Notamacropus eugenii: one gene and its partners. Each later gene encodes a partner of the first gene's protein in a complex. Links are inferred from orthologs where the notes say so. Each region holds a gene or a part of one and is shown in the gene's direction. Other genes may lie near its edges.

Region 1 (7,951 bases):
TGACTGATATTGACGATACCCCCTTGAACTTTCCTTGAGCTTTCCCACATGGCCTAGTCTTTGGCAGTTATCCTTTCTACTGGCCTTTCATTGGCCCTCCTCCTAAACCAGGGCAGCTAGGTGGTGCAGTGGATAGAGCACCAGTGCAGGAGTCAGGAGGACCTGAGTTCAAATCTCACCTCAGACACTTGACACTCACTAGCTGTGTGACCTTGGGCAAGTCACTTAACCCCATTTGCCTCATCCTGGATCATCTCCAGTCATCCTGATGAATATCTGGTCACTGGATTCAGATGGCTCTGGAGGAGAAGTGAGGCTGGTGACCTGCACAGCCCTCCCTCACTCAAAACAAAGTCAAGTGCAAGTCATGTCATCATTTCTCTGATGGCATGGTTTTTTTCAGCAGCGAGGGACAAACCACACACACCTGCCAAACCTCCAGTTCTCTGTTACCTCTAATGTAGCACAGCCCTTCATTGTTACCTCCCAATCACCCCAGCCACCTCTCATCCTTTATTCCTTCTAGACCCTTTCTTACAGTCATTCCCATCCAGATATTCCCACTTCTTGACCACTGTATATAAGGTTCATTTTGTCTCTATTAAAGTGCTCAGATTCCTTAAGAATCTGGCCAATGGCTCAGATTCAATCTAGTCTGCTTGTCAATACAAGTGTCACAATATTGTGGATTCTTAAAATCTTGCCTAACCTGATTGATGTTTTAATAAACCTTGTCTCAGACTGAAAGAAGTCTTGAGTTGAATTCATTCGAGGCAGGACCTATGTTGTTTGCCTTGAATTTTGGGGTCCCGGCACCTCTAGACCTCAACAGTATGGCACTGAATAAGTAAATTAACTTGAACAGAATTGTCATTTTTATTGTATTGGCTCAGCCTACTCATGAGCAATTAATATTTCTCCAGATGTTTAGATCTGCCTGTATTTTTGTAAAAAGTGTTTTGTAATTATGTTCATATAATCCCTGGGTTTGTCTTAGCAGGTAGACTCCCAAGTTTTTTATATCGTCTGTGGTTATTTTAAGTGGAATTTCTTTTTCTATCTCTTGCTGCTGGATTTTATTGGTAGTATAAAGAAATGATGATGATGATTGTGGGTTATATTCTGCAACTTTGCTGAAGTGATTGTAAACTCTTTAAGAGTTTCTGATGAACAAAGCTGTGTGCAAAGGGCTGACCAATCAGAAAATGTGGAATCTCATAGGATAGTGTTGGATTTGAAGTCGGAAAGATAGATTCAAATTTTGCCTCTGACATTAACTAGCTATGAGACCATGGACAAGACACTACCTCTCTGAGCCTCAGTTTTCTTGTCTTTAAATCGGAATGTTGTTGAGGCTCAAATAAGGTAATTTATGAAGGTGCTTTACAAACTTTAAAACACTATTTAAATGTCAATAATAATTACTAATAAATACTTGTTGATGGATTGATTGTCTGAATCTCTTAAAGGTCATGTTTTCTATTCCAGGACTGTCTAGCTTGTGTTGACCTAAGATAATTGACATGGGTAGAAGCACCTTAATGGAGTTAGAGTATAAATCAGGGGCTCTTGCTAGTTGACTACCCAGTTAGGCTTTTAATAACTTTTCAGTGATAGATTCACCTTATACCCTGACGAGTAGGAAAAGAACCAGGCTGGGGAGTCAGGTGACAGATTCTAATCTGTTTCTTTCCCCAACCTGCAGGATGAAGTTATAGCCTCTGTTTCTTCCTATGTAATATGGGCATGATAATCCCTGCCCTTCCTAATTCACGGGGATAATGAGATTCAAATGTAACAATCAATAGGTAATATTCTACAAAATGAAAAGTTTTCTACAAACATAAGGGTTTGCAAAAGAACAACATATTCACTGATGGTAGTTATCGAAGTGGAAGACAGCCTTAAATAGCAATAAAACTGAGGTTTAATACACTGGGAATGGCGGTACTGCTTTGTTAAAGCACCACCTTCTTTTCTTTTAACAAACAAATAATAAAAGCGAACACTTGCAAGTACAAACATTTGCAATCAGATTTTTGTGTTGTTTTGAGTAACTTTTTGAAAGATTTTATATTTTGTTTTGTTTGTGTGCTTTAAGACAAAATTTATTAATAGAAAAACCAAATGTAAGAACTTGCTATTATTTTCACGCCTTGAATTTCAGACAGAATGACTGCTTCCCAAGGCTCCCTTGCTCTGCCTAGAGTTAGACATTAATATTGTTGACATATAAGGGAGACATAGGGGGAGATGGGGGTGGAGTGGGGTGGGGGAACCAGGGCTCTGGGTCCCAGTAATTAAAGATGTCGGCACTGCCAGAGGCAGCATCTGGTTGCAATTACCAAAGGGGACAGAAGTGATTAGTCACCTTTTTAGTAAGAGCCAAATGTGTCCCTTGGGCATTTCCCTTGAGAGTGCCTCCCACCCTGTCCCCAAGCCTTTCCCTCTCTCCCCCTCCCCATGCCTGAAAGCCCCGTCCCCACTGATAATGTCCTATGTTTTGAGGGTGTTTAATATCTCCAGTATCCCAGTGTGTTGGAGGGAGTGAGAGGATAGTCTCCAAGGAGTCTCAGAGCAGAATACAGTCAACTATGAATTCTTCTACTGCTTTTTAAACTTGATTTTTCTACTATGGATTTCCTGCAGCTTTTGTCCTGAAGTCTCCCTTACCCTACAGTCTTGTTTCAAGGTTTTACAACTCATTTGTTCACCATTGGCCCCATTTGGCACCAAGGGCTAAGGCAAAAGTAACATCATAAGCATTAAACCCAGGTCTTCTGATGTTTGATTCCACAACTAGACCAGTGAGCACAAGATAGGTTTTGTTTTTCCTTAAGATTTAATTGAAGCTTGGGTCATTGCAATGGCAAAGGCAGTGGAAGACTCATTTCTCCAAGGATAACTTGAAGTTGGGACAGCATGAGTAAAATTGTTCTTTTCTTTCCTAGACTTACCATAGCTTCTCCTCTGTCCAAAAGGCAAGAAACTTGAGCTAAAACTGACTCTGGATAGTTTTCTAAGATCAATGAATTGCTAAACTAGCAATCTCTTGTTTGGAACTGTTGGCTGAGTTTGGGGCACCTGGTAAAGATAGAGCTCTTTGATGTCTACTGTCCCATTAATCCTGGAACAATGAAGACAATATGCTTTATAGTTGTAGGCTCCCAGATCTCAGCAGCTTGAAGGATTTGGATAAGAGCTATTGTAATGTGACAAATCCTGTACACCCACACCTGCAGCTAGGTGGTGTCAGTGGTTAGAGTGATGGGTCTGAAGTCAGGAAGACCAAGTTCAAATTCAGCGTCAGACACTGACTGCTTGGGTGACCCTGGACCAGTCACTTAACCGCTACCTGTATCATTTTCCCCATCTGTAAGATGGAGATAATAATAGCACCTACCCCTTAAGATTGTGAAGATAAGGTGAGCGGATGTTTCTAAAGGGTGCTTTGCAAACCTTAGAGAGCCATATAAATGCATTTTATCATCATTATTATTATTATTGCACCTGGACTAAAATATCTTCTTCATTAAGATTCCCACCCCTGCCAGACTGCAATGTCCTACCTAGTATCGACCTCAGCTTCCACAAAAGTGCCTGGCTTTCGATTTGACATTTTAAGAAACACCTGAATTTCCCCCATGTATGTCTCAAGAATGAGGGGCACCTTGAATTATGTGGTGAGTTTCCCTTGTCCTGCAGGGGTCACTGCTGCTCCAGGACTGGGTAAATCCCGTCCCTAATGAAGGGCTATCCAGTCTGCTAACTGGTAGGAACTTGGGAGCAGCCTATGCAAACCATCTCCACCAACGTCCCCTGCGGGAGTGGGGTCCGAAAGGGGTGGCATACACAGGGTGACATTCTGGGGCCCAGGCATCCTCTGAGCGTTTTCTTGTGGGATAGAAGAAGGCATATCGGTCTCCAGGTCATCTCAAGTTTATTAAAATAAAAGGAGCTGTTGGTAAATACTACTGACTGTTACGTGCCCCCTCCGTTAGGCCCCAGACTCAGAGGCTGAGTAGTAACTACTTTAAAAACACTCCAAGGACTTGACTTTGAAAACCTAGACCCGCCTCCCCCAATCCACCCCCCCCCAACCCCCCTGCCCCGCACTAGCCTGCCGCCCCCTCCCCCTTGGTGGTGTGCTTTAAGAACCGTGAATTGCTTTCTCCTCTGGATGGGGCTGGCTCTGCACACCCCAGGTGGAGGCCCCGTGCTCCTCCCAAGGCTCCAGGGCAGTCCCTGGGCATGAGGGTCCCACTGAACCGCCCACCCCCACCCCCATCCCCGGTGTGAGTCACCGTCCGTGAAAAGGCAGAGACGACTTTTTTTTTTCTTTCACATAAATATATCGTACTTAAATTAGTTTAGACAGCATGACATCAGAGAGTAATTAAATTGGTTTTTGTTGGAATTCCGTTTCCAATTCCTGAGTTCAGGTTTGTAAAAGATTTTTTTTTCACTGAGCACCTGCAAGCGGGTGTGTGTGTGTGTGTGTGTGTGTGTGTGTGTGTGTGTGTGTGTGTGTGTGTGTGTGTGTGAAATATTTTCACTGGAAAGGATTCAAAACTTAAAAAAAAAAAAAAACTGGAGCCCAGAGGCAGCATTACGCCATTCTTCCTTCTTGGAAAAAACCCTCAGACTTAAAACAAGCCTCCTTCAAACTCTCCGTCAGTCCTGCAGGAGAAAAGGGGCGGTCGGCTTTCTGCTTTCAAGAACGAGTTATTTTCAGCTGCTGACTGAAGACGGGCGCACGTCTGGATACAAGAGCGTTTCCACTATGGGACTGGATACAGACGCGCAAGAGGCAGATTTAAAGAGTCTCAGACTGAGGAGAAAGCCCTTGCCGCTGCCCTTGCTGCCGCTGCCGCTGCCGCCCTTGCCTTCCAGGTTTCGTTCCTTTCATGGTTTCTCCTGCCAAACCAGAGATACCTTCGCCGCTGTTCTCTTTGGTGCCAATCAGCGGCAGGTTAGAGGATGAGACTCCCAAGACTCCTCGCTTTCTTGCTCTGGCACCTGACTTGGTTGGACCTAGATCTTATCAGCACTGTTCTGAGTGCCCCAGACCTGGCACAGAGAAGCTCAGGGTCCAGACCGGGATTGGCCAAGGCAGAAGCCAAGGAGCGTTCCCCCCCGGCCAGAGGCAGCTTCAGGCCGGGGGGACATGGCATCAGTGGGGCAGCCACTAATGCCAGGGCAAAGGGCAGCGCCAGCCAAGCTGGAGGCCTACTACCCAAGAAGGATCAGCCCAAAAAGATGCCCTCGAGATCCGGAGGTCCTGAGCCCAAGCCAGAATTCCCCCATGCAAGGCAGTTGGGAGCCCGGACTGTGACCCCCAAAGGGCAGCTCCCTGGTGCCAAGGTTCCTCCAAAGGGCGGCCCCAGTTCCAGTACTTTCCTACTGAAAAAGGCCAAGGAGCCAGGGCCCCCAAGCGAGCCCAAGGAACCATTCCGACCACCCCCAGTCACGCCCCATGAGTACATGCTCTCCCTGTACAGGACGCTATCGGATGCTGATAGGAAGGGAGTCAATGGCAGCGTGAAGCTGGAGGCTGGGCTGGCCAACACCATCACCAGCTTCATAGACAAAGGGCAAGGTGAGAGGCAATGCTAACCCCAGGTCAAGGAGGGATGTCCAGGGGAGTGTGTTTATCTCCCAGCTACCAGTTACACATGCCAGAGGTTACCTCTTGTATTATTGTGCATCTGGTTGTGTGGGCTACATGCACTAGGACATCGAATTGTAGGACATCAGAGCAGGAAGGGACCTTAAGGTTCATCCAGTGCAGGTCCATGAGTTTGCAGAGGAGAAAACTGAGGTTCAGACAGGGCAAGAGACTTTCTGAAGGTCATAGTGCATTGGTTGCATGAGCTGGGATGAAAACCTTGGTATCCTGTTTCTCAGTTCCTTGTTCTTTATTTGCATGGACTCTCCTCCCTTAGTTCTAGATGAAGCTAGATCAGAGGTGAGCGTTGGGAATGTTGAGGGGAACAAGGGATTCATTGCAGAGGAGATGGAATTTCAGCTGGGGGATGGTGTGGGAGAAGAGCACTGTCAATGAGTCCTCCTGTCCTAAACAAAGCTAAATGGTTTGGTACTTTCATACATAACCCAGGAGAACTTAGGTTCTCCTTATTTTTTGTAACTGTGGTGCTCAAATTCTTCTGTTTCAATCTGACCGCTTAACTCTCTTGTGATCTTATATAAGGGACTTACTTTTTTGAGTCTTAATTTGTCCCTATATAAAAAAATAAGGAGGTTGTACTAGAAGATTTCTAAGGTCCCTTCCACCTATGAGTTTCTAAAATTCTATGATTCTTAGAACTTCTACTTGAGTGCCTTCTGGGAGGGAGTTTAAGGAAGGGGGAGAACATATTCATTAAACATTTGATGTTGGGGGAGGGGGTGAGACTGAGCCAGGCTCAGTGGCAGCAAGCCTGGTTGGGGTGGGGGAGGTAGGCTGGCTCTGTGCCCAGTTAGGGAAAGCTGTAATTCCTTCAGGACTCATAAAGTAAGTCCCCATGTCCCCTAGCACTGAAGTTGCTCAGGGAGGGGAGATGAGGAGTTTAAAAGTCCAATTAGTCACCTTCTAGGCCAACATGTGAATACTCCCTGGTGGCAAATTGGTGTTTAGGTAGGATAACATATTCTGACATATACTGAAGCTGTGTCATATAAGAACATCCTTTGAATGATCATCTATAGAGATATATTCACCTACCCAATGAGTAAAACACATACAGTTCACACACACAGAACATGGGCTTCAACATAGTTATACATTCTCTCTGTCTCTTTCTCCCATGATACACACGTACCCTGAGTATAGAGGACATCAGAGGACATCACACACTTGCTTGCATGTTTATGCCCACAATGGATTTGGTAATGTACTTGTTGTTTAGTAAGTTCTCTTCATTTGTACACTCTCAGAATAGAATGTGGGGTCCCAGCTTCTATCCTAGTGGAGAAAATGTTAAGTAGTTTTCTTAGATTCAGTAGCTTCTTCCTGTACATTACAGAGACTCTGCAGGAGCATCAAGAATGATCCTATTTCTTTCTCTCTAGATGACAGAGGTCCTGCAGTCAGGAAGCAAAAATATGTATTTGACATCAGTGCTCTGGAAAAAGATGGGTTGTTGGGAGCTGAGTTACGGATCCTGCGGAAAAAGCCCTCAGATGGGTCAAAGCCATCTGTCCCTGGGCGGCCAGCCCAGTTGAAGTTGTCTAGCTGTCCCAGTGGCCGGCAACCAGGCATCTTGCTTGATGTACGTTCTGTACCAGGTCTGGATAGCCCCCGTTGGGAAGTGTTTGACATCTGGAAGCTCTTCCGAAATTTTAAGAACTCAGCTCAGCTGTGTTTGGAGCTGGAGGCCTGGGATCGAGGTCGTGTCATGGACCTACGTGGTGTGGGTTTTGACCGAATTGCTCGTCAGGTCCATGAGAAGGCCTTATTTCTGGTGTTTGGCCGCACTAAGAAACGTGATCTGTTTTTTAATGAAATTAAGGCTCGTTCTGGCCAAGATGATAAGACTGTGTATGAGTACCTATTCAGTCAGCGTCGGAAACGGCGGGCCCCACTCACAACACGTCAGGGCAAGCGACCCAGCAAGAATCCCAAGGCCCGTTGCAGTCGCAAGGCACTGCATGTTAACTTCAAGGACATGGGCTGGGATGACTGGATCATTGCACCCTTGGAATATGAGGCCTTCCACTGTGAAGGACTCTGTGAGTTTCCCCTTCGATCTCACCTGGAGCCCACCAACCATGCTGTCATCCAGACTCTCATGAACTCCATGGATCCAGAATCTACCCCTCCTACCTGCTGTGTACCTACCAGGCTGAGTCCCATCAGCATCCTCTTCATTGATTCTGCCAACAATGTGGTCTACAAGCAGTATGAGGACATGGTTGTGGAGTCCTGTGGCTGCAGGTAGCAGCATCACCC
Region 2 (8,445 bases), on another chromosome or scaffold:
AAGGTACAAGGCTGGGAATACAAAAAAGACAGTCCTTGTCCCCTCAAAGAGTTTATAATCTAATGGAAGAGACAACATTCAGGAAAATATACAGAAAGCAAGCTATATACAGGATAAACCGAAGTAATTAACAGAGGAAAGTCACTAGAATTAAGAAGAGTTGGGAAAGGCTTCCAGTAAAAGAAAGGATTTAAAAGAAAGCTAGGGAGTCAGAGTGGAGGAGGGAGAAGGAGTGTTCCAGGAAGGCTCTGAGCTAAGAAATAAAATATCTTGTTCCTGAGACAGCCAGGAGGCTAGAGTTACAGGACTAAATACTGTGTCTGAGTAGGAAGGAGCTAGGTTAGAAAGGGCTTTGAATGCTCAACAGAGCATTTTGTATCTGATCCTGGAGGCAATCTCACTGGAGTTTATTGAGGAGCATAACATAGTTGGATCTGAACTTTAAGAAAATTACTTTAGTGGCTGAAGGAAGGATGGATTAAAGTGAGGAGAGATTTGGGGGAGGTTGACCATTAGCCCACTGAAATAATCCAAGTGTGAGTCGAGAAGGATTTGCATCACAGTGGGGCAGTGTCAGAGGAGAGAAGGGGCCATATTCAAGAGACCTTAAAAGATAAAATTGACAGACTTTGGCAACAGATTGGATATGGGGGGGTGAGAGACAGGAAGAAGTCCAAAATGACTCCTAGGTTATGAGACTGAGGGACTGAGAGAACGATGTTGCCCTTGATGGTAACTGGGAAGGTGGGAGGGGAAAGGGTTTAGGGAGAAAAGTAACACGTTCCATTTTGGACAAATTGGGTTTAAGATGTCTAGTGGACATCCAGTTTGAGATGTCTGAAAGTCATTTGGAGATGTGAAATTGGGTCACAGAAGGGTTGGAACAGGATAGGTAGATTTCAGAATTGTCATTACATAAACAGTAATTGGCAAGCTGATGAGATCACCAAGTAAAGTAGTATAGAAGGAGAAGAGAAGGGAACCCAGGACAGAACCCTGAGGGACATCTAAGGTTAGAGAGGGTGATCCAGAGGAGGATGTAGCAAAGGAGACTGAGAAAGAACAGTCAGATAGGTAAGGGGAGAAGTATCTGAAAAACCTAGAGGGAAGAGAGCATCAAAGAGGAGAAAATGATCAACAGCACCCAAGACTGCAGAGAGGTCAAGGAGAATGAGGTCAGAGAAAAGGCCACTCAATTTGGCAACTAAGAAGAGATCATTAGTAACTTTAGAGAAAGCAGTTTCAGTGATAAGGTTGAAGCCAGATTGCAAGGAATTAAGAAGAAAATGAGAAAAGAGAAAGTGGAGGCACCTATTGTAGATAGTCTTTTTAAGATATACACATACATATATATATATATATGTATTTATACACATATATACACAGAAATATGTGTACACCAAAAGAAAATAAAAGCATTCTCTTGGGGGCAGGAGAAAGCAGAAGCAACTTAATGATCCAGACATCAGAAACGGCACTTAAGCAAGACCTTGAAGGAAGCCAGGGTTGGGAAAACATGGCAGGCCAGGGAGAAAGGATAAAGACAAGCTGGAGCCACAGTACAATGGACTTTAAAAATGCAACAAAAGACTTTGTATGATATCCTGGAGTTAAATGAAAGCCACTAGAACTTCTTTACCTCTTGGATGGATGTCGTCAGACCTGTACTTTAGGAAAATCTATTTGGCCACTCTAAAGACTAGATTAGAGAATACAAAGAGACTAACAAAGTGATAAGGACCTGAGCTAGCACAGTGGCAATATATGTGGTATAAAACTAAACTGAGCCCCTAATCCTTTAACTTAATCCTAACTGATTCTCTATTCTCAAAAGAAACTGCTGCCCACTATCTCTTCTCTCCTCAAGTCCCCTACAACATACCATTCTCCAATTATCTCAGCAAAATGAAAGAATAAAAAAGTATTTATTAAGTACTTTCCATGTGCCAGGCTCTGTGCTAAGTGATGATTATACAAATGCAAACCTATTCCATTACACTGGGAGAAGTCTTCACATGCTTGGGGTAGACATCCCTGTAACTCACCGACAGATCTGAGGCCTGTTGGTTACCCTCAACCTGGTTTAATCCATCTGCTGATTCAGTTTCAGCAGAGGCTGGTCAATGGGAATATAACAGCTTCCTGGAGTCACAGGTAAGAGTTGGTAGCAGGTGGATACCAAAGGTGGATGAAGAGGGCTTGGTAAACCCTTCTTGAATGCCCCACATAGCATTATAGAGCACTTAGAGCTTGATCGGACATCAAACACATGAAGGTGCATCCCAGCCACTATATCCTGGCCATCATGGATGTGTTGACTTTTATCTGGCTGTAGACTTTGATGACTGTGGAAGAGAGAGTGAGGCTGATGACTTTGTGCAGCTCTGTCTCACTTAAATCCAATTCACACACAAGCTAGGACATCACCCCATGGTGTCATAGGTCCTCTTCAATAATGAAGAACAAACAACAACACATACAATCAAGTAAGATAGTCGTGCTTTCAAAGAGCTTATAGTCTATAATTAGAGATGGAAAGTGGTTAAGGGGTACATATAGCAAAGAATAGATGGCCCCAAAGTGGCATGCTAGGCCTGAGATCAAGACTAAGTAAAATAAAAGCTAATCAAACCAAATCCTGGGAATTCAGGTTCCAGGAGGCAGAGGGGAGGCTGGAGCAGCAGGTAGCATGGTGTGGAAAGGATTTCACCCCATATTTTATTGAGAAAATGGAGAAAATTTGACCTCTTCTCCTCTCCTTGAACTCTCAAAGCCCTTGACAATTCCCTTCCCCATTGTCTCCTCCTTTACTCTAGTCTCCTTGCCAAGGCCAACCTTGCCTTCCCATCTGGTCTCATAGATTGTCCCTACAATCATCCCCCACCTCTAATTTTCCAGTCTTTCCCTAGCCACTTTTGCCTTCTCCCCTGTCTAAAAATATGCTCATCTCCCTGATCCTTGGAAATCCTCATTTAACCCTATCAACTTCCTTAAGCTATCGTCTTATACCTCTTCCTTTCCCAGACAAACTCCTAAATACCTGTTTGTACTCACTGCTCCCACATCATCTCTTCTCACTTAACTTGTAGTCTGGCTTCTGACTTGAAACTTTTTAACACTAACAATGACCTCTACATTGCCAAATCCAATGGCCTTTTCTCAGTCTTCATCCTTTTTGAATTCTCTACAGCATTTGATGATGTTGAAAATCTTTTTCTCATGGATATTCTCTCATCTATAGAAGTAGAAACATCTATTAGATGACTTTCTCAAGGAGTTTGGTGAAAAAGAGAAAAATATGGGATGATATCTGGAGGAAATGGTTGAATCATCTAAGGACTTTTTAAGGATGGTGATGCCCATGGGTATGTTGTAGACATCAGGGAAGCAGCCAATCGATAAAAACAAAAAAAAAAACCCTGAAAATTAGAGTGTGAGAATGAAAAGGAGGGCAATTTGCTAAAGAAGATAGCATGAAAATTCAATTAACGGAACAGGTAGATAGGTTAGCTTTGACAAGGAGAAGGGCCAGTTCATATGACACAAGGATGAAATGAAGGTGGGTAGTTAAGGAATACAACTCAGTAATGTAAACTGAGGAGGAGATAAGAGGGAGCTCTTGACATATGGATTCCATTTTTGGGGTGAAGAATGAAACAAGGTGTTCAGCTGAGATGGCAGAGAGAAATTTGAGGAGGGAGGAAAAAGTTGTTAACAGTCACTTTGGTGAATGTGATAATGAGTCAATCAGGGAGGTTTTAAAAAGATCGCCTTACTATTACAGGTTCATTATATTGGATCCATTCAATCCATTTAGCCTCCTACTGCTGAGAAATCGCAACCTTGAGAGATCCACAAGCCTCAGCATGCCCAATAGCAGGGATTATAGACGTTTGCCACTATGCCTAGCCCAATCATCCATGTTAAGGGTTATAAATCTCTGGCCTATAGGGCAGATTTAGCCCCTAATCTTATTTCTGGTCAGTAGGGGAAATACAAAGATATGCTGCTGGCCTGTGGACCAGAAAAGAATATAAATATTGAGCTGTAATATACTAGAAGGCCATAAGATGGAGCTGCTACTCCATGAAATTGTCTTTTTTTAAACCTCTTTTTGTCTGTTACTATTCCAATTTCCCTCTTCTCTTTCTCCATTAACTATTAGCCACAAAAAAAACCATTTTGCAATTTTATGTTCCTAACTCTTAATTTTTTTAACTAAGTAAGTGGAATGTTTTACGAAGTTCAGATTGGAGTTTTGCCATTTTACTACCTATACGACCTTGGAAAAGAGATCTCTGGCTTTGTTTCTTCATCTGTAAAATGAGGCAAAAAAACCAGATGACTTGTAAGGTCTCTTCCAGCTCTGAATTTATGACACAATGATTTCCTTTCAGAAGGAAAAAAATAATTTACTTTTTCCCTGTGAAGTACTATAATGATTTTTATCTGTGTGATTTGGTGGCAGAGGGAGGCAGGGAGATTCCCCTGGCCTACATACTCACACTTTTTATTATTTTCCTTTAGAAATTCAGCTGGACTCTTTTTTTTATTGGGGGAGGTGAATAATGGGGAGAGGAGTAAGAAGGAAAGTGGGGAGGGAGAACAGACAGCAGCTGCACAGACCAGAGCTAAATGTGGATCTAGGGCAGGGGAAAATAGATTTTAACAGCCCCAGCTTCTCATCAACTCCAGGCTCAGATTTCTCTGGGCAGCTGGTTTCTTTGGCCCTACTTTGATAGACTTGGGGGAGTGGGGGTTGAGGAATTTGGGGGAGGGATTTATCTCCTGCAGTAGTTTTTATTTAATGATAGCTGCTTTCCACACCAAAATGGCATCTGTAGAGAGCAGGTAGCAATATCCAAAGGGGACATATCCAAGTACTTGCCCCAATTCCTCAAGGGCAAGACCCTATGTTTTAGAAATCCCTAAGGACTGCCTGGATGAGATGGTGACTGGGGCTTCATATAGAATGGAACTGGATATCTGACCCCTTCCCCTGTTATCTCTATACACATACACACACACACACATACTCACACATATACACACACAAAACTACAAATCTTTCTGCTCTCCTGCTCCCTCCCTCCCCCCAGAATTATGGTCCTGGCTATTTTTAAAACTCTCAACTCAGTGGTCAGGCCTCCTTCCACCTCAACTTAGCCTCTCTCCCCCATCCCCAGCTGTCCATCCCTTTCGTTGTATGTTCACTCCTCACCCCCCAAATCTTTCCTAGCTCCTTGGCCTCAGACAGCCTGTAGCTAGGGCTCGGTACTGGAGTTGAGCGAAAAGGGACATGGAAAAGGAGATATGGGACCCTTGGATAAAGCTGACAGACAGTAGGCAACACTGGATGGAAAACTGGATAACAGTCTGACACGACCTCTAGATACAAAGGTAAGTCCCTAGAAAGTTAAAGCTTCTTTCAAAAAGTTTTGGTTAGCATATGGGTTTGCATTTTTCTTAATGCTGAGAATCATGGACACCAACCTCAGTTCCTCTAGGCTACATAGGCTGGTAGTCCCAATCTCCTCAAGCTGGCATGAGAACTGCATGCTGATATGCTGACTACATGGGATATATCCTAGAGCAGAGAAGACTCTGTGCCAAGGGGGGAAGGGGAAGAAAAATTGTCTAGTAAGATGACTTGGCTGAGAGGGATGTTTTTCTAGGAGAAAGAATAAAGGGCTATACCCAGCCTTTCTTACTACCCTTCCCCCATCACCTGGGTCTCACAGCCAGAAATCCTCCTGTTCCATTCTCACTGTTTGTCTCAGACTTTCTGGTGGGGTTTAGGGGGTGTTCTCTAAGTCTCCACCTTTGTGGTTCTCTCTGCCAAAGCTAATTATAGACTCAGATATTTGGGCACTGACACCCCTTACCCTATTCCCACCTCCAGGCATACCCAAAGAGCTTCTGAATTGTGAGTGTAAGAGGCAACTTTCAACTACAGACCTCCCTTCACAATTATCAGCCTCTCTCCAGTCTATGCTTCACCTGCACAATCTCTCCCTTGCACCACCCCAATGTTAGCCCAGGTTCTCCACCAGATTAGTAATGGGCGATTAGTTTTACCAAAGCAGGGAAGGGAAAGGTATTGAATGTAAGGGAGGAGCAGATTATTTTATATTTGCAGGGCTGAAGGGGTTAGTGGTTGGGAGAAGCATTACCGGAATATTAGGAAAAGCAAAGGAGCTGTTGGATCAGAAAAAAAAAAAATTGATTTACACACTCATTTTGCACTTGTTATTCTACGGAGAAAGCATAACAGGTGGCTAACACCTACCTAGTAGATCTAGGTTCCAAAAGAAACTGATCTGCATGTCACTATTCAAAATAGGCCTTAGATATTCCTAGTTTTATCCCTTCTTTTCATTCTCCTGATCCAGGTATGAAGGGCGTGCCAGGTCACCTGGGTCTTCAGTAAACCCATAAGGAAATGAGTTGTGTTTCTGAAATGTTCCCAGATTGTATTCCCATTGAGGGGCCCATTGGGGTAACAGAGTAGCTCTGTCCGCTTGGTCATTTGTCTTTTGACCCCTCTACTGTTTGGTCAACTTGGGATGGGTCAGTACAGTGGACTCTGCTCCCCTCATCCCAACACCCGCCCCCCATCCTCCCTCCACCTCTGACTGGGGTGTTGCACAAGGGCCCTGGGGTGACCATGGGAGGAAGACACAGTGCCAGAAAGGTTCTCCAAGCCCTAAATCTCCAGTTCTCTCCTCTCATTCCTACCTCCCATCATTTCTTTGACCTCCCTATATATCCCCTATAACCCTTCTCACTCAGACTTTGGCTCCTCTCACCTCAACCCCCAACCAGATTTCTCTTTGACTGAGGTCCCTTCCAGGGGATCCAGCCAGCAGTCGGAAGAGACCTGGGGACCAGGGGGGACCTGGCTGGATAGGGATGAGGGAACCAAGCCATTCCCCAAGTCTCTGGTCCACCCGTGGCAGCTCACTAAGCACCCTCACTCTTCTGCTGCTCTTCTGTGGACATGGTAAGGGGAGGGTTAGGGAAGGGTCTGGGGGAGGCAAGGGGAAAGGGGGATACAGTAAAGGCCTGAGGGATCCCAATCATTCACATTCAAACTCAGGACTACAACCGGTATATCACAGATCAAGGAGAACTCGGGGAAAGGAGGAGGGAGGAGGAAGGGAGAGACCCTGGAAAGAGGGGTGGAGAAACTGGCAAGATCCCTTAGCTGAGGGAGGGTGCTTCTTTAGCAGAAAGACTAGGAACTACATGCATTGTCCAACTGTCATAGGGAAAGGCAAAGGGATTGGCAACTGTTTAACCGAGGTTGAAGAGGTGGTCCTCAATTGGTATATGCTATTTGGAAGGTTGGGGCCCTACTAATGAACTGTGGGAGGGGTGTTGGGAGCTAGGTTGAGGATAGAGTGAGGCCTTTCTGACAATAAAATCCTCCACTCTCTATCTTTTCCCCCTCCTTCTCCCCCCAACCTTTCCCCCTTTCTTCTCCCGCCTCCCGTTTCCCCCCCCCCCCCCCCCCACCAGCTCACTCTCAATGCAAAATCCTCCGCTGCAACGCTGAGTATGTATCATCCACGTTGAACCTACGAAGTGGGGGATCTGCTGGAGGGAACCGGGGAGGTGGAGTCCGGGGCCCAGGGGCGAACTCTGGTGGCCTATGTCGCGCCCTGCGATCCTATGCGCTCTGCACACGGCGTACTGCGCGTACCTGCCGAGGGGACTTGGCCTTCCATTCTGCTGTCCACGGGATAGAAGATTTGATGATCCAACACAACTGCTCCCGCCAGGGTCCCACGGCTCCACCCCCTCCTCAGGGTCCCGCCCCTCCTGGCTCTGGCTCCTCCCTTTCTTCTGGCCCTCCTGCTCCAGACCCCTGTGACTATGAAGGCCGGTTTTCTAGGCTACACGGTCGTCCCCCGGGCTTCCTGCATTGTGCCGCCTTTGGGGATCCACACGTACGCAGCTTCCACCACCACTTCCACACGTGCCGTGTCCAAGGCTCCTGGCCTCTTTTGGACAACGACTTCCTTTTCGTCCAGGCTACTAGCTACCCGGTGGCCACTGGAGCCAACGCCACTGCCACGGGGAAGGTCAGGGTATAGACAGTCAGTCCTTATGAACAGCTTTAGTTCCACTACCACGACCCGCACAACCACTTACTGATTAGTTTCTTTGGCAATGGTTGCCCCCAAAATATACACTAGCCACTCTGGTCCTCATTGGCTATTCCGTCATAATTTTATGCCTTTGCTGTTCCCTCCCTCCATTCTTGGCTACTCTCCCAGACTCTCCCTCTCCGTTACTACTATTAACTATTTGTCCCACACCTTCTCATCGACTCCCTTTACTACCAGCATCTCCCTTTACTCCTTCTTATTTGTCACTTTCCTTGTCCAGGGAATCTAGAAGAAAAAGTGGAAGTGTCAGAGCCCTCAGTAAACAAAAATT
Region 3 (7,979 bases), about 170 Mb from region 1:
CAGTGATAATAACTTATTAAAAATTATGTCAGTTTGACCAAATTTTCTTCATAGCAATCCTATAAAGCAAGTAGTGTGAATACGATGTCCATTTTACAAGTGAAGAAACTGAGGGTTGGAGAAGTGAAATGGACAGTATCCAAGCCAGGACTTCTGTTTGTCTAGTATAGATTTTCTTATCAAAAGAAGAGAGAGGGAAAAAGAGAGAGGGTGTGTGTGTGTGTGTGTGTGTGTGTGTGTGTGTGTGTGTGTGTGTGTGTGTGTGTGTGTGTGTGTATGTGTGTGTGTGTGGAAAAAGAGAGAGGGTGTGTGTGTGTGTGTGTGTGTGGCCTCAGGACTGCTTCTCAGAATAATGTTTTTAAATAAAATGCATAGGATTGGAAAGGAAACCAAATGTATTGAAATGTAGTTTATCACATATTTAAAAAGTCCACACACTTCAGTCTAATCACCCCTGGTCTAGTGCTTTTCCACCAGATCACAATGCCTCTTAGGTCACTTAATGTCTGTGCGACCCAATTTCCTTATCTGTAAAATAAGGGAATTAGATTAGATTGATCTCTCTAAGGGTCATTCCAACCTTAAACTAACTCCATGATCCTCATTCTCTGAAGTCTTCTCAAAAGTAATCATTCCTAATTCCTTTGATTGACTTTTACTGGGATCAGTGTAGTACAGGGCTGGGGAACCTGTGGCCTAGATGTGGCCCTCTAGGTCCTCAAGTGTGGCACTTTGACGGAATCCAAACTTCACAGAACAAATTCCCTTAATATAAGTATCTGTTTTGTAAAATCTGGACTCAGTCTAAAGGCTGCATCCAAGGACCTAGAAGGCCACATGTGGTCTTGAGACTACTGGTTCCCCACCCCTGGGTAGTCATCCCTAGTACTGTATTAAATAGTAATCTATGCTGTGGGTGTGCTGTTATTGGAAATAGGTGGAATTTAATGATTAAACGGGCATTTATCTAAAACTCCTAAATCCTATGAGGAATATTTATTTACATTATATCAAAATTTGAATTTATGATAGAGGCAAAAGGGGAGGGAAGAAAAGTTTGGATTAAAATTGTGACCAATTGAGTATTTAGCAGATGCTGATAAAGGAAAAGAAAGGGGTGTGCTCTGTCTGTGAAAGACGGATAAGTAGAGAGTGAGAAAGCCTTCTATAAGGAAAATATTCTGTAAGGGAGAAGTTATTGAATTGGGAATGAGTGGGCCTGGATTATTCTTTCTTGCTTTGACTTTTCCATAAACCAGCCATGGGACTTAAATTCTAAGTTCTTGTTTCTGGGTCTCAGTTTTCTTTTCTATAAAATGAGGAGTTTGGATTGTTTGATTTATGAAAATGCCTTGGCAGGTCCGAAGGGGTATTTTCTATTTTCACTTTAAGGATTTCACACTATTCTCTTTTAAAATAATTAAATAACTTTTGAAATAAAAATAAAGACTCTTAAGAAGATTTTTGTAGTTTGGGGTTTATGAATTTGAGTTTTTTTTTAATCTTAATAACAGCTTTTCAATATAATTGATTTCCTTTTTAAATATTATGCATTTTATAAATTTAAAAAGAGATAAAAGGGATAGTTCCCTAGGTGGAGAGTGGGACTGTGTGTGTAGAAGTGATTTGAGGGAGGGAAGGAGAGAGGGAAAGAGAGAGAGAGACAGAGACAAAGAGACAGAGAGACAGAGAGAGACTTGGAAATAAAAGTGATGTAAAAACAAAAGCTCCATTCAAAAAAATAAAATGAAAATGATCATAATCCTCAAAGTAACATGAAGTAACATTTAATCAAGCCCTGCTTTTGATTGGTGGAGATTTTTCAGTGAAAGCTTTTTTTTTTTTTATTCGATAAGAAAATTTAAAAGATAAGCTTCACTTTTGACCTTATGGAGTTAGTGTCAGCTCTGTGCATATATACATTTAGTAATAAAACTAGTTGTTAACTGTGTGACATCACCTCTTTAGTGTAATTGCATTTGTAACTTAACTAGACCTTTGCTCTTCATTTACTAGCAACTATCAATTTGCATAAAAGAGCAAACACTATGTAATAGGTTGTTAGATTGATCACTTTTTATTGAAAAAATTAGTTGAGGTTAAGCAAATGGAATTATTATCTTCCCTTTGTAAAGATTTTTTAAAGAATAATATGAATGTGCATTTAATGCCCTTTTTTTCTGAATGGAGACAACTAGAAAGGTCATATAACTTTAAATTTAATGTTTTAATGTTTTTTTAGAGATGACAGAATTCTGAAACCCAGTTTTTTTTGGGGGGGAGGGGAAGAGACAAGTTGATAACAGACTTGTTTTTAAATTTTTATTCATGTCTTTTCACATCATCTTCATTTCTAAGTAGATCTTTTCCCTGTCTCTCACTCAGAAAGCTATCCTTTATAACGAAAAGAAAAAGAAAAAGAAAAAAGTTATGACTAAAAAAGCAAACCTAACTAGCATGTTAACAAAGTGTTTGTGTCTCAAAGCAGAAATCCTCAGCTTTGTAAGGGGGAAGTATTCTGCTTCTCTTCTGGGGGACTAAGCATGGCCAGTATAGAGAAATAACATTCAATTTAAGTTTTAAATATTAGTTTTTATTTAAAAAATAATACATCTGGGTTCTTTTGGTCAGTGCAAACATCTCTTCCATCCACATTTCATCTTAGTACAGTGACTTACATTCGTAGGGGCTTTGAGGCATAGCACAATCTTGAAGTAGTTTCTGAATCATCAAAGATTAAATTATAGTCAATATAATTTTAGATTGATGCCTTTAAAAATTCTAATTCTTTTAGATTTTGTAATCCATGTATGGTAAGTGGTAATTTGTTTAACTAAGGAAAAGGTAAAGAAGGAATAGGATAAGAATTGAGGAGCACAGGAGGCATTGCTGAAGGCCAGGACTTCCCTGCAAGTGGAGGTCCTATAATTAACTCTGCCTAGCCCCTGCCCTTATTACTTTGTATACTTGGATGTTTACATCAGAGTGTGCCTAGGCATTGAGGCTGGCACAGAGAGGAATCTAGCTTTGAAAGCGTGGATTCAGAGTCTGCATCTGACTTATACCGACTGTGAGACCCTTGGTGAATCACTTAACTCTTTCCCACCCTGGCATCTCCTGGGTTTCTTGACAACTGCCATCTGCCTTGGGAAGAGGGATTAGCTCCATGTAACGACAGTCAAAGCACTGATCCTACCACAAACAAACAAACAAAACATACTTCTTTTGGCCAGAGCAGTTTTCATTTTTGTCTTTGTATGCCTAACACCTAACATTATATTGGTCAAATAGAGGGCATTTCCTACATGTTTATTGAATTGAATCAAACTGTACATTAACCAAAACAGCCTATTCTCCAATATTCTGTATTATTTTGAATGACTTAATTTTGAAACTGATGAAAATATCAGTAGAAGTACTGCTTCAACGTGTAGTATATACAGGTGTATCTCATTGAGCAACAAGGACTTGAGGTTTTTATCCTGCTCTGGATTGAAAATAAAGGATTAATCATAAGCTAGTTAATAGAAATGCTAAGTGTTTTCCTGTAAGTGTGGTGGTAGAATTTATAACAAATTAGAGTAAGAATGTTTTTACTTTGATCCTGAAGATTTTTTTCTTCTAATTTTTATGATTTCTCCTATGTTAGTTACTTTTTCAGTAACATACATGATGGCATCATATTTCCTCTAAAGTCTGGCAATTTTTTCCTTCATTAATATCCACAGGAAGTTCTAATTAGGCTTTTTTTTTTTAAAAAAGCTTACATGTGTTTCCTTCTAAAGCTTATACTTTTTGCAAGATTGTAAGATTCCTGTAATGAAAATATGATGTTTGTATAGTTTCTCATGGGTGAGAGTCTTCTCTTTATTGCTTCCTATAGTGTTTCCTAGAAATGAGAAACAGCAAATAGGCCTTTTTTTTACATCTGTAGTTCAGTTAAGCAAACATTTATCTTGCTTATCCCTTTGGTGAAAAGTTTTAAATATAGGAATTTTTAAAAAAGCCAATGTTTTATTCCAGACCTTCTAGGTATATTTAAAAAAAAATAATCATTTTAAATCATTTAAAAAAATAATCATTGCTGTATGTGTTTGTTCATGTTTATCTTAAATTGTAAACTTCTTGAGAATATGTGGAGTGCATATCTTTTGGGATTATTTTTCATAGCATCCAAGAACAGTGTCATGTACAGAGTATGGTACTCAACAAACCATTGATTAGATGAGAATAAACCACAAACAAGAAGCATTTATTAAACACTTAATCTTAATGTGTCAGGCATTGTGCTAAATGACAGGGATACAAAGAAGGCAAAAACAGCCTCTGTCTTTGAAGCAGCCAGCGCACATTCTAATGGCAGAAACAATATGAAAACAAGATAAGTTGGAGATAATTTCCAATTAGCATTAAGGCAGATTGGGAAAGGTTTCTTGTAAATGATGGGAGTTTAGTGGAGACTTGGAAGCCAGGGAAGCAGGAGGTGGAGTTGAGGAAGAGAGCATTCCAGGCGTGAGGGCCATCCACAGAAAATGCCTGGAATCCTGAGATGGAATGTTTTGTTCGAGGAACAGCAAAGCCTCCAGGGTGATTAGATTATAGAATACAGGGAAGGAAGCAATATTTAAGGAAAATGGAAAGATAGGAAGGGACCAGGTTATGAAAGCCTTTAAAAACCTGACAGGACTTTCTGTTTCATCCTGACGGTAATGGAGAGCTGCTGGGATTTACTGAATTGGGGGTGGTGTGGGTTTGAGCAGACCCTCACCTTTAGGAAGATCACTTTCGTAGCTGAGTGGTGGATAGAACTTGAAATGTGGATATCAACTAGCCACCTACTTCAGTACTTCAGGATAGTCCAGGTGTAGGGCCTGCACTGAGATGGTGGTACCCTTAGAGTAGAGCAGAGAGCATAGAGGAGAGAAGACTGGAAGGTAGAATCAATAGGACTTAGCAACTGATTGAATATGGGAGGGGAGGAAAGGGAAGAGATTGCTTTCAATAGCAGGGAAAGCAGTGTTTTTCCTCATCTAGCAATAGTTGCAACTGATCCAGGTGTTTTCCTGATATTCCTTGATATTGTGTTCATAGAATGAGCAGTTTAGTAATGTTACTCTTGTGCTCTAGAATCTGTCTGAAAGCAAGTACATATCATGTCAGCAGAGTGTCATGGGAAGAACACTGGCTCTGAAATGGGTTGAAATCTCTACTATGTATGTGACCTTGGGCGAGTCACTTAACTTTTCTGCACCTCATTTTCTCATTTGTAAAGTGAGGCAGCTAGATTAGATAAACTCTGAGGTCCCTTCCAGCTCTAGATTTATGATCACTTAATATTGTATGAGTCTATTTTGTGGGCTGCTCCTGAACTGTTCCAATTTATAAAAAAAGTTATTCAATGTAGTTATAGTCATTGAAAATTTAATTTAATTTTAATGTTTTTTATTTGCTATTCATATAAACATATGATACAATTTTAACTTTTCTATTAACACTAAAGACTTTGGAGAAAGAAGAAAGTGAATAATACTGAAATTATATTTTGTCTCACATTAATTTCTTATAATTGCATTGGTGTGTATTCAGTGAAAGGGAAACTAAAAAAAAACAAGGAGCTAAGTTGAAATAGCTTTCTGTCTTGGCATAGTCATGTGATTGTTGTTCCTTCTCCGCCTTCGTCTCCCTTCCTAAATCCCTACTCCTAGGTTTCTAGAAAGCTTACAAGTTATGAATGTTAAGATGTTTCTAATTTGAAGAAGGTTTTTTTGAGGGGGGGGAGGTACTTAATGAATGAACTAAAACAGAATAAGATTGGGGGAAGAAGGAACAGAGCTGAGGGAGGTCAAAAACCAGATGGAAATAGAACATCCAAAAACATCCAGCAAAATGAAGTTAGAAATAATGGAATCTAAACAGAGAAATTATACATCTGCTGAGCAGCTGTGCATTCTTTATACAAAGGTTCAGTTACAGAAATAGCAATTGAAACTTTGAAAAAGAGAACATTTCCTAAGTGTATGAAGTATATATTTTTTGTGAACATTTAAGAACATTAGATTTAAAACTTTTTGGGAAGAAGTCAAGCCTTTTATTTTGTATCTAATGACTAATTATAATACCTTTAAAGTGTATATATTTTATTCATCTTTAAATAGATTGTTTTTCCCCTTCCTAACAAAGTTTGGGAGTTCTGATTAAAAAAAAAAAAACTTCACGAAGAATTACTGGACTGTTTGTACTAAATTTGGACTTGCTATTTATATCTTCCACACTGAATTATTATTCTATTATGTATTTATTATGGAGTTTTTCTTCTTGGTGATTGTAACTACCTTGGAGGGTGATGCACCACTGCCAATTTAATTGTACTTCACCTTGATTTTGCTGTACATTTTTCAGATATTCATCCCTACTGCAAACTGCAATGACACTTTTCTGCCTTTCTTAACTCTAACCACTAAATTTGCTAAAATATATTTATTTTAGGTTTTTATTCACAGTGTTTTAAAACTTGAAATTAAGAAGTATGAAAAAATATTTACTATTAATCTCTAGCAATCTATCTTTTCCACAAGCTTCTATCCCATTGACTTGAAATTTGAGACATAGCATTGTCAATAACTTAGAAGACTGTAGTTCATAAAGGTATTCATCTTTGTTCATTTGCATTGATTTTTCAATTTTGACCCATTCTTATTGGAGAGTTGGAGATAGTTTACTTGTTAATATCTTTAGGACAAATTTTGTGTTGTGTTTTAAAGTTTTATCTATTTAAAAATAGCTATGTATTTTAAAATGAATTTTATGATGTCTTAATAGTAGAGGTTAAGGTGGGAATTATAAAAGGAAACATTTTAAACTTGGAATTCCATTTTATTTATCCATGTGAGCACTTACTTTGTGTTTTACCTGGGCTATCTTCCCTTTATGCTGCCCTGTTGCTTCTATCATTGCAGCTGCTTTACCCCTCTTAATCAGGCCACTAGAAACCATGCCCTGCAGGAACTAAGCCACTTAAGTTTGGAACTGTGCTTTGGGACCGTGCTACCCTGATTGGTGAGAGTTCACTGCATCTAGAGGGTCAGAGATCCTTCTTTACCAGCTCTCTCCATGCTTTACCTCTGCCATGTTCTTCCTTTATATACCTTGGGTAAGAGTAATCAAATGAACACTTCTGTTGGTTCTGGAACGGGTGTGATGATTCCTTGTAATTCCACTCACCACAATTTCCCTGACCAAACTGCCCCCCTCTTTTTTTTGGCTTCTGCCCTCTAATTTGTGTTGTCTTTTATTAGAATGTAAGTGTCTTTCAGGAGGCAGTGTCTTTCAGTGGATTCTTTCAATTTCTACTTTGCCCTCTGATTCTGAGATATCTGGGTGATTTTCCGTTATAATTTCTTGAAATATGATGTCTCAGCCCTTTTTTCATGGCTTTCAGACAGTCTAGCAATTCTTAAATTCTCTCTCTTTGATCTGTTTTCCAGGTCACTTGTTTTTCCTATGAGATATTTCACATTTTCTTCTATTTTTTTCAGTGTTGTTTTAGACCTCTTTTATCAGGCTACTAATTCTCTTCATAATTTTCTTGCAAAGCGCTCATTTCTTTTCCCAATTTTTTATATACTACTTTTACTTGATTTAAAACATTTTTTTTCTCTTTTTAAAAATTGGTTTCTTTATCACTTCTAGGAATTCTTGTTGACCTTGTGTCCAGTCTGTCTTTTTCCTTCTTGTATATGTATTCAAGTTATTGTTTTCTCCTATATTTGTGTTGTAAGCTTCCGTTACCATAGTAACTTTTTATGAGTTCTTTTTTTGTTTGCTCATTTTCCCAGCCTACTTCTTAATTTTGTTAGTTTACTTTATTTTTTAATATTTATTTATTTACTTGGTAATTTTTGTTCATTTTAATGTTGAGCTCTGCTCATTTTTGGGAGGAGAAGGATAGGATGTCTGATCTGAACTTCTGTCTTTTTATG
Region 4 (7,646 bases), on another chromosome or scaffold:
CTTGCCTAAGTCATGTCAATGCATGCTTATGAGTCTTTGTGGTTTAACATTTCTTTTATGTAGAGGAAATAAATAATTGTCCTATTTCTCTCATTATACTCATTATACATTGAGTACCTTTGTATTTTTCCCATCCCCAGCCCCACACTGGTGAGACCAGATATGAACTAAAAAATTTTCCCTAGGGTTCAAGGGTTAGAACCAGAGAATATGAACAAAAACCAAAAACCAAAAACCTGATCCCTCAGTAGGAGCCAGATTCCTCCAGGACTGAACACATTTTGAATGAGGAAAGGGGGCACCTTTGTAGAGAGACAAAGGACTGTCACCACACACACACCCTTGGGTCCAGCAATAGTTCTTAGTATTACATTAATGTAACCATGACTCCCACCCAAGAGGGTCACGGAGGGAGATATGACATCTAACTGGTTGAGAGAATGTCGAGGCAACACTGCCTATCTGTATGCATAAGGAGAAGAATTAGTGCCAGAGCTTCTGACAAAGATACATGTAGTGAGAGAGACTTCAGAGAAGAGAAAAAGCAAGACTTTGGAAACTGCAGATGTGTAGGGAAAACCAGCTCCTCACAGGGTGTCTAATTTCCAGTTTTTCTCCTTAAAAACTTTGAAGAGAGAATTTCCCTTTGGGGGATATTAAGGCCTCTGTATTGACTTGAACTGAGATCTTATCTTACTCCCAGCAAAAAAAGTGTATTCCCTTTTGTGTATTTTCTGGTATATCCTAACTGTAGAACTCTAATTTCTATTTACTGTTTTGCTTAAACAAATGGTTTATTTACTATTCAAAGGGCTAATCTGGTAAATATAGGCCAAGGGGTACCATACTTCCCTAAGAGAAACCAGAGATATATCTATTTCTTCCAGACACAAATATCAGCTATACATTTAAATGTCATGTACATATGTGTGTATATATATGTCATGTAGCCATACATGCTATATAGGTGTATCTATACATATAGATACACATATACACACATTTAGACACATCATGTGGGTATATGTGTTTATATGTACATATATGTATCTGTATATATGTATTCTGTATAGGAACATATACATTTAGACAAGTCATGTGGATAATATATGCTTAGGATAATATGTTTAGGAGGTAGGTAATATATGTTTAGGATCATATACACCTAGACAAGTCATGTCTATCTATATGCATATAGGTATACACGTACATATATCCATATACTTATCTAGATATATATGTACATGTATATCTATATATACATATATGCTCCATGGGCAGTTGGAGATATAGGACTAAAACTTAGGAGACAAGGACTGAATATGTAGGTTTGAAGATCATCTGAACAGAGTCAGAATCCATGGGCTCTAATGAAATCACCAAGACAGAAGAAAAAAACTGAGTGTTAGCCCTGGGGCACTTGCATGAAGAGAGTGGGCAGCAACATGGATAATGAACTTGGGAATCATCAACAAGAGTCAGCATGAAATGTAAGAAGATGATCATGACGGAGTTGTGTCAAGAAAACCCAGGGCAGAGAGATTATCCACAAGGATTATTTATTGCTGAATTCAGCAATAAAGAGCTCATTGGTGACTTTTGAGAGGAATTTCATAGACCTAACATTGGAAGGGACCTCAGAAGACATCTGGTCCAACTTCCTCATTTTACAGATGGAAAATGAAGGTTAAGTAACTTGTCCAACGTCACATAGGTGGTAAGCATCAGATGTGATTTGGACCCTCATTTGAGTGGCAAGCACAGAAACCAGATTGCAAGAGGCTGAGAAGTGACTAGGAGATAGGGAAATGGAAGTCATTACTATAAATAGCTTTTTTCTGAGTCTGGCTGTGAAAGGGACCATAGCAGTATAGGATGGTAGGATCAAGTAAAGGTTTTTTCTTAAGAGGAAATATATGAATACAGTATTTATTGAAAATCCAGTTTTTTCCCTCAAGGAGCTTATAATTATCAATTATAATTAATTGATTAGGAAACTAAAACAGGTTGAAGTTAAGAAATGGTCAGGAAAGATAGGTCAGTTAATTGCTCAGGCTGAGTTGCTTATAGGAGCGGTGTGGTGTAGTAGATGGTGCAGTAACCCTAGAATCAGGAAAAACTTTGTTCCAGTAGTGTCTCACACACTTACTAACAGTGTGACCTTGGGCAAGTTAGACCTTTCTATGACCCAATTTTACTAAGCTGTAAAATGAAGGGATTGAGCTAAATGACCTCACAATCCCTTTTAGCTATAAATTGATGCCCACCTAGAAGTAGGGACTCTTTTCTGCGGAACTTCTTTTCTTTGGGGAATTGATTCATGCTTTAAAAAACAACAGCAACCCACATGTACAAAAATATTTATAGCAGCTCTTTTTGTGGTGGCTGGAAATTGAGGGGATGCTCCTTAATCAGGGAATGGCTGAACAAGTTGTGGTATATGAATGTAATGGAATACTACTGTGATAGAAGAAATGATGAGCAGGCAAACTTCAGAAAAACATGGAAAGACTTATATGAACTGTTGCTGACTGAAGTGAGGAGAACCAGAACACTGTATACAGTAAAGCCACGTTGTGTGTTGACTGACTGATAAATTTAGCTCTTCTCAGCAATGCAATGACCTAAAACAACTTCGAAAGACTCATGATGGAGAATGCCATCCACATCCAGAGAAAGAACTATGGAGTCTGAATGCAAAGTGAAGCAGACTATTTGCTTCATAAGTTTTGTTTTTCTTTTTTATGGCTCCTCCCATTCCTTCTAATTCTTCTATACAACATGACTATTGTGAAAATATGTTTAATAAGAATGTATATAGAGAGCCTATATCTTATTGAATGCTATCTTGGGAGGGGGAAGGGGAAGGAGATGGAAAAATTTTAAAACCTATGGAAATGAATGTTGAAAACTAAAAATAATGTTATAAAAAAACAACCACAACAACCCAAAAACTGATAAAAACAGAATGCCATTTTATTTGCTGTGAGAAATATAACTCCTTATAGATCAGATATTACTGTCTGCTCTGTGCTTTCTAGGTCTAGCAATGTGATCTTGAATCAATCACTTGACCTCTCTGGGCCTCAGTTTCCTTCACTATAAAATAAAGAGATTGAACCATTTAAGTCTCTTTAGTTCTAAAGCTATGATCCTACAAACTCATTAAATCCTCACAAGTGGACTTAACCTGTTACATGATGCTGACACATCCTAGGGAGGTGGATAAAGGCAGCTACTTAGTATTCTTTTTTTTTTTTTTTTGGTAAATAGTTAAAACATGTACAAAAATATTTATAGACTTAGTCTATAGTGTTAGTCTAAGTGTGAGTTGAGATAATCTCAGACCCTGTGTGCTACACAAAGAAAACCTAATTAAAACTCTGGTTTCCTTTAAATGGTCCAGGAAAATCTGTGTCTGCCAAAGGCCCAGCCTCAGCCAGAACCTCCCTAGAGTTAGATGATCCTAGGCACCTTAATTGTTAGGCTAGTAAGATCCTACATTTGCTATATACATTTGCTATAATAGAAAAGAAAAAGGAACTGTCTGTTCTCTGATTCAGGGATTGTATTCAGGGAGGTGAGGGTGACTGTTGGTGTCACTAGTTGGGACAATAATTATCCTATTTGGGATAATTTATCAAATTGCTATTTTCACTGTCGCTAATGAAAATCTATATTTAAGATGCTGACTTGTTTTACTTGGAAACTTCATAATAGTTCTCTTTTGGACAAATAAAGGAAGAGGGGAATTAGCTGCTAGAAAGGGGTTGATAAACAAATACAGAAGATAGGTGGGTTGTAAAAATTGGTGTGTGTGTGTGTGTGTGTGTTTGTCCCCTGGAAGACATATATTTCAAAAAGTTGGAGGTGGGGTAAGGACTGCTGGAGTGGGGAAGGCAATGGAGAGAAAGGGGTAAGCAGGGAGAAGGGTAAGCTTGGGAGAGTGGAGGCATGCTGCGTGATGAATGTGCCCTAGAAGTGAGGACAGAGGGAGAGGTCAGGGGTTATAGAGAGGAAAAGGGCAAGAAAGGACTGGGGGGATACGGCTCATAGAGAGGGTAAGAGGATTGGGGGTGAAGGAAGAGGGAATGAAAGGGAACGAGAGAAAAGGTATGCAGGAGAGGGAGAGAGGAGGGGGCTGGAGAGGGAGGGGCCTGGAGAAGGAGAGGAGGGGGGCTGGAGAGGAAGGCTTGGGGGTGGGGGGGTTGGCGGAGCCAGAGCAGCCTCGTGGGCGAGGAAGAGGAGAGGAGAAGGGCCCTGTCTCTTTAAGGTGCCCGAGGCGGGGCAGCCCCGCTCTGCGGAGGGGGGCTGCCGAGGGGGGGCGGTGCCCGGGAGAGGTAGGGGGCGGGGGTGGCTGGGCTGGGGCATCTGCACGCGCTGCTTCCCCAAGGCCAAGTTCCCGGCTCCCCCGGCTCCGAGTGGGAAAGAGGGACCGAGGGCAGGGAGGGCGGCCCGGCCGCGCCGCGCCTCACGGTGAGGGGAACTCGGGGCTTCGGGGAGCGGCCTGGCCGGGCCTCTGGAGGAGAGCGGGGCGGGCGGCGGCCGCGGGGGGAGCGGGGTTGCAGCCCGGCCTGGGCCCGGGTCGGTCCAAAGGCAGGACTCCCTTAGATGTTTGTCGAGTTGAGTAGCCGCAGTGGGGGGAGTGGGGTGCCTGGGTCCCTCGGCCCGCGCTTCTTTTATCCTTTTGAGACATTCATTCTTTCTCGTGGGCATCCTTCTCTGTCTGAACCCAAAGAGCTGCGAATCCAGGCCCCCAGACCTCCCCTTCCCCCTTCCCTTCCTCCCTCCTTTATCTCCTCCCTTTCCCTTCTCTCTCTCCTTCTCCCCTTACTCCCCTCCTTCCCCCCTTCTCTCTCTCCTTCTCCCCTTGCTCCCGTCCTTCCCACCTTCTTTCTCCTGTCCTTCCTTTTCTTTCCCCAAACAAATGAAAGAAAACGCATCCCCGAGCCCAGCCATCCTTTGAAAGTGCCTGTAGACTGAACTCCCTGTAGGCCTCCCTCTCCCAGCCTCTTAATCCGCCCCTGCCCTGATTCGAAGGTGAGAACATCTTTGTTAAGGCTAGGCTTGCCTGGGGGCCAGTGCCGGTCCCCCGGTGCCAGTCCCCCAGTGCCGGTCCCCGGGGCCGGGGCCCCGACGTCTCCTCCCGAAGGCAGAAGCCGTGGGACTTGACTTAGCCTTGGCCGGGAAGATGGTTGTCTTGGGTGTTTAGGTCTGCTACAAGTTAGTCCACAGTTTTGGTTTAGTAGAAATTGGGTTCGATGAATGAAAGATTTGGGAGAGAGATGTTCACTTAAGTTATTTTAGGTATCAGCAAATGAACATTTAAGTGAGGCAGAATTGGATTTGCAAAAAATGTGTCACTGATTTTGTGTTGTTCTTCGATTGCTTAAATTGTTTCCTCTTAAGAAAATAAAGATTATTTAATAAGCTAAATTTGTTAAAGTTTTTTGAAAAAAAAAAAATAACCTCCTACCAAATACTCCTTAATTTGTAGTGTCAATAAGATCAAAAACTAGTGAGGGAAAAAACCAGAATTAGAAATGGCATATTCTGACTCCACAAGTACATGCCAGTGGCTCCAGAAATTATCCCATTTGGTCAGAGTAGTTTAACAAGTTACAAAGTTGGGTGACTAACGTCCTTTGGGGAATGTTTTGTGGTTCTAGTAATCATCAACAGGGCTTTCTCTTTCTAAATTTTGAGTCATACTTACCGCCATTAATGTAAGAGTCTTCATTTCTCCCTGCTGTTGGCTTACAAAACTTGAATGCTTAGAATGAAATAGTAAATGTAATTACAGAAATCTCAAACTTAACTATCCTTTTAAATTCGAAATGTACCAACTTAAAATTTTTAAAAATGTACCCACATATACACCTAAGTGTATCAATAAATTCAAGAAGTTATATATATATTTTACATCTGATCATCTTTTTTTCTGGTTTCTTATAGTTTTAGCCCTATTGTGTCTTTCAAGAACTCATAATGGTGCCTCATCTATAATGAATTTGTGCAGTTAGTGTTTTGAACTCTCCCCTCACCCTGTCATTCACTTAAGCTTGTGTAGGTTATGATAGGTTACAAAAGGAAAGAGAGAGCTTGTGAGAGCTACCACATTTAAAGCACTTCATACGTTTTGTTTCATTTGGGGCTCACAATAGTCCTTGAAAGTTTGTAGGGTAAATCTAAATGTCCACATTTTATGGACACTGAAACTCATGGAGGTTAAGTAATTGTAAATTTTTTTGTCGTGTTGGTTCAGGTCCATTTTATAAAAATATGAAATAATTGTAAATCAGCATTAGTATATTCTACATTTAAAAAACTCATTGATAATACTATGATTGAAAAACATTTTATTTTATGTGTGCTGTGGAGTTGAATGCTTATGTATTTGAGAAGCTGGATTTTTGTTGGTGTAGGATATACCTTACATTAACACAAACCACAACCCTCCTTATGCCTTAGCTGATCAACTTCCAGAATTGCTGTGGTGGAAAAATTCATCATCCTGTAGCCAGCATGGTGATGAGCCTCTCCAAATTTAGCTAGGCAGATCCTCAGATGGTAACCTATTTCACAGGGTCCCTACTCAAAGCCTTTCATGGATGTAGGACCTTTCAGGGCTTATGCTATGCTACTTTATGGAAACATGGGATCCCTTTAATACCATAATGAGTAACCAGAATAGAACTTTTAGAGGGTTGATGAAAGTGAATAGTCTCTTATTTATATTCCCTAATGGGCCTGCAAATGACCTTCTTGGTCTGAGGACCAAGGTAGATAAGTTTGAAGCTCATTATTCCCAGATTAGGTAAAGGGTGATATATTTTTCAAGCATGATTACCGAAGTTGAAGAACTGACCTTAAATAAACTTTACCTGTTTGATATAATCTAAGTTACTTAGGTGGGGATATATTGGAATTGTACCAACTTTCTGTGGATAGTTTACATTGTATTATAATATAAAGTTTTTATTTATTACTGAGCTTTTAATCAACTTTTATTGAAAATTATATTCAACGGAATAATTCCTAATTTGAAATTAGGAGACTGATTTTCACTCTAGTACTGTCTATTAAAGTGGAGTTTTTTATTTCAGAGCTTCGTGGGGATTACCCCTTGTCTGCTTTGAGGAAACATGAAGTCACAGTATCTTGTACCTACTGTAGCCATACTGATATTCCTAACATGGATCCCTCTCTCACTGAGTTGTAACAAAGCTCTCTGTGCTAGTGATGTGAGCAAATGCCTCATCCAGGTATGATTTTTTTGTTTGTTTGGACTTGTGATTTCATTAATATAGGGAATTCTCATATTGAAACTCTTTCCATGGACATAGATGGCAACTTCTTTAATATTGACAGTCTTATAAAGTTGACTGGTGACTCTGAGAGGCTAAATTACTGTCATATTGTCAGCCCTGTTATTATAACAGGCAGATTTTCTTGACTCCAAGGTAGACTGAACTGCTTTGCATCCATAATTTATCAAGTTCTAATTTCCTGTCAACTTTAATTTTTTAAAAATGACATTCATGTTCCCATTGCCAGTGTAATTTGTGATAACTATGTCTGAGATAGAACAAAGACATAGGCATGACTAATTGGGTGCATTATTGGGAGTTTTTATTTGCCTAACA

What was found.
Region 2: the proteins of GDF5 (region 1) and HJV are in contact, whole or in part, in a crystal structure (PDB 6Z3L), measured with the Homo sapiens proteins. The link is inferred for Notamacropus eugenii from reciprocal best matches to the Homo sapiens genes GDF5 and HJV. Residues at the interface, in NP_000548.2 of Homo sapiens: Met412, Trp414, Trp417, Phe478, Asp480, Ser481, Lys488, Tyr490, Met493; in NP_001366281.1 of Homo sapiens: Arg95, Arg98, Gly99, Leu101, His104, Ser105, His108.
Region 3: the proteins of GDF5 (region 1) and BMPR1A are in contact, whole or in part, in a crystal structure (PDB 3QB4), measured with the Homo sapiens proteins. The link is inferred for Notamacropus eugenii from reciprocal best matches to the Homo sapiens genes GDF5 and BMPR1A. Residues at the interface, in NP_000548.2 of Homo sapiens: Arg399, Phe435, Pro436, Leu437, Ser439, His440, Glu442, Pro443, Asn445, Val448, Ile449, Leu452, Ser455, Met456, Pro458; in NP_001393490.1 of Homo sapiens: Gly65, His66, Cys67, Pro68, Ile77, Thr78, Phe83, Ile85, Glu87, Cys100, Met101, Lys102, Glu104, Gly105, Phe108, Gln109, Asp112, Ser113, Lys115, Ala116, Gln117, Arg120, Ile122.
Region 4: the proteins of GDF5 (region 1) and TWSG1 are in contact, whole or in part, in a crystal structure (PDB 8BWL), measured with the Homo sapiens proteins. The link is inferred for Notamacropus eugenii from reciprocal best matches to the Homo sapiens genes GDF5 and TWSG1. Residues at the interface, in NP_000548.2 of Homo sapiens: Glu434, Phe435, Pro436, Ser439, His440, Glu442, Asn445, Val448, Ile449, Leu452, Ser455; in NP_065699.1 of Homo sapiens: Cys26, Lys28, Cys31, Ala32, Ser33, Val35, Ser36, Leu39, Ile40, Cys44, Gln45, Cys46, Arg47, Cys73, Val74.

Annotation. Positions count from the first base shown.
Region 1 is NC_092872.1:419,485,948-419,493,898, reverse strand, and holds the start of GDF5 (growth/differentiation factor 5), read left to right. Parts: upstream 1-4,476; 5' UTR 4,477-4,980; coding exon 4,981-5,599; intron 5,600-7,071; coding exon 7,072-7,940; 3' UTR 7,941-7,951. UniProt on the Homo sapiens protein: Growth factor involved in bone and cartilage formation. During cartilage development regulates differentiation of chondrogenic tissue through two pathways.
Region 2 is NC_092873.1:303,319,408-303,327,852, reverse strand, and holds the start of HJV (hemojuvelin), read left to right. Parts: upstream 1-5,320; 5' UTR 5,321-5,400; exon of another isoform or gene 5,401-6,421; intron 6,422-6,825; 5' UTR 6,826-6,912; coding exon 6,913-7,003; intron 7,004-7,521; coding exon 7,522-8,087; intron 8,088-8,445. UniProt on the Homo sapiens protein: Acts as a bone morphogenetic protein (BMP) coreceptor. Through enhancement of BMP signaling regulates hepcidin (HAMP) expression and regulates iron homeostasis.
Region 3 is NC_092872.1:253,323,718-253,331,696, forward strand, and holds the start of BMPR1A (bone morphogenetic protein receptor type-1A), read left to right. Parts: upstream 1-4,593; 5' UTR 4,594-4,706; intron 4,707-7,979. UniProt on the Homo sapiens protein: On ligand binding, forms a receptor complex consisting of two type II and two type I transmembrane serine/threonine kinases.
Region 4 is NC_092875.1:233,829,390-233,837,035, reverse strand, and holds the start of TWSG1 (twisted gastrulation protein homolog 1), read left to right. Parts: upstream 1-4,306; 5' UTR 4,307-4,476; intron 4,477-7,106; 5' UTR 7,107-7,145; coding exon 7,146-7,265; intron 7,266-7,646. UniProt on the Homo sapiens protein: May be involved in dorsoventral axis formation. Seems to antagonize BMP signaling by forming ternary complexes with CHRD and BMPs, thereby preventing BMPs from binding to their receptors.